Linked DNA regions of Mus musculus. The protein of the gene in region 1 interacts with the protein of each later gene in a pairwise test. Links are inferred from orthologs where the notes say so. Each region holds a gene or a part of one and is shown in the gene's direction. Other genes may lie near its edges. The genes, in order: Klc3 and Bicdl2.

The links.
Region 2: the proteins of Klc3 (region 1) and Bicdl2 interact in binary tests that used the Homo sapiens proteins (3 or more experiments, as listed by UniProt). The two-hybrid records come from large-scale screens. The link is inferred for Mus musculus from reciprocal best matches to the Homo sapiens genes KLC3 and BICDL2.

Annotation. Positions count from the first base shown.
Region 1 is NC_000073.6:19,401,246-19,405,536, reverse strand, and holds the start of Klc3 (kinesin light chain 3), read left to right. Parts: upstream 1-1,432; 5' UTR 1,433-1,516; intron 1,517-1,685; exon of another isoform or gene 1,686-1,775; coding exon of another isoform or gene 1,776-1,782; intron 1,783-4,291. UniProt on the Homo sapiens protein: Kinesin is a microtubule-associated force-producing protein that may play a role in organelle transport. Plays a role during spermiogenesis in the development of the sperm tail midpiece and in the normal function of spermatozoa.
Region 2 is NC_000083.6:23,666,087-23,669,208, forward strand, and holds the end of Bicdl2 (BICD family-like cargo adapter 2), read left to right. Parts: coding exon 1-2; intron 3-662; coding exon 663-860; intron 861-973; coding exon 974-1,123; intron 1,124-1,462; coding exon 1,463-1,593; intron 1,594-1,802; coding exon 1,803-1,923; intron 1,924-2,016; coding exon 2,017-2,178; 3' UTR 2,179-2,535; downstream 2,536-3,122. Other genes in the region: Thoc6 (THO complex subunit 6 homolog), read right to left, coding at 2,720-2,800, 2,890-3,024, 3,110-3,122.

The DNA of each region.
Region 1 (4,291 bases):
AGGGACCTTTCATAACTTCTAGAATTTGCTTCGTTCATCCTGTAAATACTTTTTGCGCATCTGCATCATGCCACTCTACAGTCTTGACCTTGAAGACGACCAGAGAGACACAGGGCACGCGTTGTAGAATATTAAAGACCCAGGAGCCTACATTAAGAGATTCTTAGATACTGCAGCATGGGAGCTATTCAGGAGGCTGAGGCAGGACTGTAAGTTTGAGCCCAGCTGAGCTTTATAGGGAGACTCTATCCCCCCTCAATAAAATAAAGGTAACTAGGGTACAGTGGCTGTATTTTCAGAATTAAGTGAGACCCTGCCTCAGAAAAGGAGGGCAGAGAGAATTAATAAAATCAACACACACACACACATCTATATCTATATCTATAAATATATATATGGCAGGGAGAGCTAAATAGTAGATGCTTTTTCCTTGTATTCACAGGGCTCTGGGTACCACTCCCAGCAGTGCACACACTACTGTTAGCTCATGTTAATCAATTCAGGTCTTCCAGAAGACCCAAGTTCAATTCCCAGCACCCACATGGTGGCTCACAATTGTCTGTAACTCCAGTTCCAGAGGATCTGATGCCCTCACCCAGATCTACAGGCAGAACACCAATGCACAGTAATATAAATCTTTAAAATAAAGAAAACCCCTCTTACTTATGTGTCCGTATGTATACACAAATGCACGTGTGTGGGTGCCCACGTTCCATCCATGCATGTGAATCCATCCAGGCTCTCCTTGACCAACTCCGGAATAATTCCCAGGAGTCAGTTTTCATGGTTCTTGGAGATGAAACTCAGGCTGTCAAGCTTGGCAGCTAGCGCCCTTACCATCTTCTCAGCCAGGAATAGTTGTGCAAGGTCTTCAGGTTGTAATTATTAAAACAATATTTTTTGGAGATTTTTATCTTTATTTTATGTGTGTCTGTGGAGGCCCTGGAAGAAAGTGCTGGATCTCCCTGGAACTGGAATTACAGATGATTTTGAGCCGACATGTGGGTTCTGGAAATCGAACCTGGGTCCTCTGCAAAAGCAGCCAGCACTCTTACCTGATGAGCCATCTGTTTATTCCATATTTGTGTATGTATGACTGGACACATGTAGAAGTCAGAAAACAACATGTGGGAGTCCGTCTCTGTCCACCCTGAAGGTCTCAGGGATCGAACTCAGCTCCTCAGGATTGGCAGCATGCACCCTTACTGTCTGAGCCTTCTCGAAGGCCCCCAGATAAAGTTTTCAGAAGTTCTCGGAACGCAGGTTTCACCGAATGCTGCGGCAGAGGGCGTGGCCTGGGCGCCTGCGGGGGCGTGCGTTGCCTCCATCGGCCCCGCCCCGCCTCTAGACCACAGGTTTCTCAATGTGTGCTGGCGGAGGGCGCGGCCTGCGCACCTGCGGGGGCGTGGCTTTGCCCTGCCCCACCTCCCTCAGGAGCCTCCGGGAAGGCGGCGGCCGCGCAGCGGGAGCAGCCCGGTCTCCGCGCAGCGAGGCGGCTCGGGCGGGCGGCCGTCAGGTGGGCACGGGGGACGGCGGCGGCTGCTTCGGGATTCCCGAGGGGGCCGCAGGGATGGAGGGAGGGAGCCAGGGACCTGGTGGCCGGGATGAGCCTCGGGGTCCCCGCGGAGCCCCGCCCGGCCCCTAGCGGAGTAGAAAAACAGCTGCGGGCGGGGCGGGGCCTTGTGACGCGAAGTCCGGTGCAGGGTCTCCGCGGCCGCGGGGAGGGGCTGGCCGGCTGTCGGAGGGTCCCCCGCTGCAGCCTGAGGGTGCAAGACATGCATGGTAAGGGAGCCTGCGCGAGGTGTGCAAAGAGAGGGAGAGTAAGGCAGGGCGCACTGTGGAAACTGAGGCGGGAGGAGCGGAGTTGGAGGCGAGCGAGCCTGGGCTTCGTACTCAAGGGAGAGAGACAGAAGGAGGGCGGATGTGGGTACAGATGCCAAAGGGAGGGAGAAAAAGAAAAGGAACGTGGGCCAGCAAGGAGAGTAAAGGTGTTGATGCCAAACTGTCTATTTCTCAAGTTTGATCCACAGGATCCGAAAGGTGGGAGGAGAGAAAGGACTCCTCCCTTAAGTTGCAAGTTGTTCTCTTGGCAATCCATGTGCCTCTGCACACACAATAAGTACATAAAGGGAAAAAAGTTGACTAGGGACCAGGCATCATGATGCACACCTATAATCCCAGCACTCGGGAGGCAGAGACAGGCGGATCTCTGAAGACAGCCAGGGCTACACAGAGAAATTCTGTGTCAATGTATACATATTCATACATATGTATATATATTAGAGAAAATCTGTATCAACATATATATACACATACATATGTATATATAAAATTATATATATTTTAAAAGTAAGAAAGAGTCACATTGTGGGTAAGAGTGTAAAAGAAATGAGCTACCATGTTACTCAGTGATGGGGACAGAGTGAATGTGGATGATCTTGTCTGTCTCCTGTGTGTGTGTGTGTGTGTGTGTTACATGCGGACTGTGCATAGCACTGAGCATGTGTGACTGAGATACTGGGTCAACTGTATACTTGTGGTTGATTCACACAGATGGCCATGTGTGGCAGGGAATGGGGTTGGATCTAGGTGTTGCGTGGCAGTGGGGGTGGAGTGTGTGGAATTGTGTCAGTGATATGTGACTGTCACTGACTAACTGTTGGCTGTGTGTGGGTATGTGGGTGACTGTGTCTGCAAGCTGAGGTTTACTTAGGTGTGTGTGTGTGTATACGTGCACACACGTGAGTGTGGGGCAAGCCTGCTGTGGACTAGTGAAGCTCTCTTGGGGCTCCTGTGAGTGCCGGGGACAGCTCGAGTGGCAGATGGCTGCGGCTGAGCTGTGGGAAGCTGCATATGGAGCATGGCCCCTTGGGTCTGAGATTGTGCGGTGGGGAGGGCGGTGGTGATCCTGGCCACACTGGGGCAGAGTCAGGATGGCTCACCCTGAGCTTGTGTGAGACTGACTACTTACAGGGTGTGTGAGGTTGAGCCTACCCAGGTTCTACACGCGCTCACCGGTGATCTTACTCACGTGCCTCGTATATGGTATGGTATTTTGGTTTTGTTTGTAGAGATGAAGTGACCTGAACACCTGATCCTCCCATTTCTGTATTGGGATTACAGGTGTGAGACTCCACATCTGGGGAGAAGTTGAAATGTTATTTCTTTCTTCAAAGATTTATTATATGTAAATAAACTGTAGCTGTCTTCAGACACTCCAGAAAAGGGTATTAGATCTCATTCCAGGTGGTTGTGAGCCACTATGTGGTTGCTGGGAATTGAACTCAGGACCTCTGGAAGGGCAGTCAGTGCTCTTAACTGCTGAGCCATCTCTCCAGCCCCAAAATGTTTTTTCCCATTCCTGCTCGATCCGGTCCTGCTCCTGAAATTTTATTTTATTTTATTTTATTTTATTTTATTTTATTTTTAGACAGAGTTCACTCTGTAGATCAGGCTGGCCTTGGACTCATGGAACTCCTCCTGCCTCTGCCTCCTGAATGCTGGGCTTAAAGGTGTGGGCCACTATGCCCCTCCAGAGGTTGAGTCATAACCTGGCGGTACCCAATAAGACCATCTGAGTTAAGATTTTGACTTTAAAGCCTTTGAAAATGATACTCACAAAGTAGAAACTGTATATCTGAGTTTGAGGTTGGGTCTCTTTCTGGGCTAGACTGCTGAAGGAGCACCTCACATGCCTCCACATGTTACGCTGAGACTTAGAAAATGCTACTTCAGGCAGCCCCAAGATCACCAAAGGAAGTGGGGTGGGGTGGGGTGGGCACTGAACTCACTGTGTAATGGAGGATTATCTCTTTAAAAATTACATGTATTAAACCCAGCAGAAGTGGCGCACTCAGGAGGAAGAGGCAGGCAGATCTCTGAGTTTGAGGCTAGCCTGATCTACAGAGTGAGTTCCAGGACAGCCAGGGCTACACAGAGAAACCCTGTGTTGGAAACCAAACAAACAATAAACAAGTCCCCAAACAGTGCTGTCTGCCTGTAACCAGCACTTGAGGTAGCACAGGAAGGTTTAGCCAAGGATGGCTTTGAGCCCTGATCTTCTGATCTCAGGTTGGTACCACATGCCCATCCATCAACTTTTTTTTTCTTATGGTAATAGGGATGGACTCCAGGGCCTTGGCACTGTTTGGCTATCTATGTCCCTAGTATTGAGACAGAATTTTTCTGTGTAGCTCTGGCAGTCCTGAAACTTGTTCTGTAGTCCAGGCTGGCCTTGAACTCAGAGAAACGCACCTTCCAAGTGCTAGGGTTCAAGGTGCACCACCACCAT
Region 2 (3,122 bases), on another chromosome or scaffold:
AGGTGATCAGAGGGGCTGGGGGAGGGGCCAGCCAGCTGGGCAAGGACCTTGGGACTCTCTGGGAGATGTGGGACTGGACGCTGAGGGCAAGTGGGACCCAAGAAAGTGTATAGAACAAAGGACAGGCACTTTTAAAGTACATCAGACAGCCTGGCAGGTCAGGAAGAAGGCCAAGGCCAGAACTCAGGACAGAAAAGTCTGGGGCTGTGGACTCGGTGGAAAGGAGTGAAAAAGAAGGATAGTCTGAATTCAGATAGCTTGGCTTCTTAGCCACACCCTGCCTCAGTTTCCCCAATGGGGTGGTATCATACACCTCAAAGGACTGTGGTGAGACTGTAGGACTCAGGAGAATCAATAAATGCTAGATCAAAGCATTTAGTGAATTAGAAGGAAGACTGCACAGGGGAGGGGACCTACTCTGTGAGATGACCTGATGAAGCCAGACCTGGGCAGAGGACGATGCCAGGCACGCCCTGCTTTATAGTTGAGGAAATTGGTGCCTGCAAAAGGGAGGTGTGTGTTCTAGGTAACTGTGATTCAGGAGAGAGAGCAGGCCTGCTCCACCGGGGTGCAGACCCGGGCATAGCCCTCGGGCGCCCCGTGGGCCCACCGCAGAGGGCCAGCTTCCTGCTGACAGCTGGACGGATCTGTATGACCTGCAGCTGGAACGCGCCCGCTTCGAGGCTGGAGAGGCGCTGAGAACGCTGAGGGGGCTGCAGCGGCGGGTGTCAGAGCTGGAGGAGGAGTCGCGACTCCAAGACACCGAGATATCGGGCGCCTCCCTGCAGACCGAGCTCGCCCACAGCCTTGACAGTGACCAAGACCAAGACCAGCAAGTCAATGAATGTGGAGGCTCTCAGGTGAGCTTGCAGCCTACCAGCCCCACATTCAAATCATTTATGAAGGATGCAGGCTCTACTCCTCCTTTTCCCAGAGGTAACATACATCACTGACCAATTCCTTTGACAAACAGGCCATATTGTCCCCTGAGACTCAAGAGACATCCAGTCCCCAGCCTTCAATACAGGAAGAGATCTTGGAGCCACCTAAGAAACGAGCATCCCTGAGCCCAGTGGAAATACTGGAGGAGAAGGAGGCAGAAGTGGCCAGGCTGCAGGATGAGGTGGGAGAGCATGGTACTGCACACAAAGCCCCCAGGTGTCCACTTCTTTGCCATCTCCACTGTCAAGCCCCCTCCTCCATGAACTTGTAGTCTACCTGAGCTAGTCTGTACCCCCTGGAAGCCTCAGGGGCTCTACTGCTCCCTAAACTTCTCCCTGCATCCGTCCTGTTGAAGGCTAGCCCTACCTCTTCTTTACTACGCCACCTGATTCAAAGGATTCACTCTGAGTTTGAACACAGGCTGAGTTGCCTGCGGTGTTTATAGAGCAGTCCCAGGTTGTGGGAGGGCAGGTTGTCCTCCAAGGCTTTTGTACCAGTCTGCTCTCTTCCTGGCCTGTAGATCACGCTACACCGTACAGAGCTACAGACGCTGCGGGATGAGCTGCAGAGACAAAAGGAGCTGAGAGCGCAGGACAATCCAGAGGAAGCCCTGAGCAGTGCGCTCTCTGACCGGGACGAAGCAGTGAACAAGTGAGCCTGGCATTCTCTTCTCCCCTGTTGCCTCGGGAGGGGCTTATACTCTATCTGGTCCTTCTGGGTCCCTGATTTCCATCACCCTGACAGGAGTATAGCCTTCATTTTGACTCAGAAGCTTCAGCCCCGCCCCCACCCCCCTTTTACCAAGGTCCAGGAGGCCCCAGCACCCCCCGGACCAAGTTCTCTATCCCTTTGATTCTCAGGGCCATGAAGCTGTCACTGGAGCTCAGTCGTGTCTCCCTAGAGCGGGACTCTCTGTCCCGGGAGCTGCTGCGCGCCATCCGCCAGAAGGTGGCACTGACGCAGGAGCTCGAGGCTTGGCAGGTAAGAGAGGGCAGACCCTGAGGAGGACTGGTGGACAGGTATCCTGACCTCATCCCACCCCCATACCCACCCTGCTTTGCCTCCTACCTTCAGGACGACATGCAGGTAGTGATTGGACAGCAGCTGCGCTCCCAGCGCCAGAAAGAGCTCAGTGAGGCTGCAGCCGCCCCAAGACGTGCGAAGACCCGCTTTTCACTGCGCCTGGGATCCGGGCAGAGTGGAGGCTTTCTGAGCAACCTCTTCCGAAGGACCTGAGGGTTGGGGGCCAGGGCTACCTTTTCTCACTCTGGAGCTCAATTTCCTAACAGCCAATGGAGCCGTGGGGTCTAAAATGACTTCCAAGGGAAGTCTTCCATGCCCCAAGAGGTGGACAGAGGCACTTTGGGTGCAGGGGCCAGCTTTGGGGCAGGTGCCCCAGGTGGGTGGCGGGGGCAGAGCTGTTTATTTTTTGAATCTAAATAGATCTATCTTTTCTAAGCGCCAGGTCCTGCCCCATCTGTGCGAGAGGGGTGGGGATGGGTATTTATGTGTAAGGATAAGTCAGAGCTATATATATAAATCACTATACTTAATTGGTCTCCATTTTTGGGGAATAAAATGCAAACAAGAAAAGCCTAAAATTTTATTTTGACAGGACAACAAAAGCTGAATGTAACGGTTCACCAAGCTAAATCTCATACAGGAGTTTGAGATCAAGCTAAGCCAAATGAGTTCCAGGCCAGCCTGAGCTAAAGTTTAAAACCCCTATCCCAAAACACAAGCATCACTCTAGCTCCTGAAATACAGGGTCATGATGTCAAAAGGACAAAGAGAAGGCTCGGTAGCCCAGGTTGGTAAAGACATCTACTCGACAGCTGTTGCCCGATGCAGTCAGGACCTAAAGGCAAAGAAGACAAAGAAGACATACCTGGCTAAGTCGCCCATCTACAGGCCTGGAGAGACCCCCATGGCCATTCCAAGACCCACCTTGCACTCTGGGGCTGCTGGCTGCTGGTTGAGGCTCAGGCTGAGCAGCCCTGGGGAGGAGCCAGGCACCTGGGCCTTAAGCTCCCCGCTCAGTTGCCAGTGATTGACACAACAGCCCTGGCCAGCAGACAGGATCTGTGGAGGACAAAGAGGAGGTGCAGGGGTCAGGTCTAGGTGGGGGCACTGGATAGTGGGACAGGATCAAGACAGGGGGTCTCACCAGATCCTGGTAG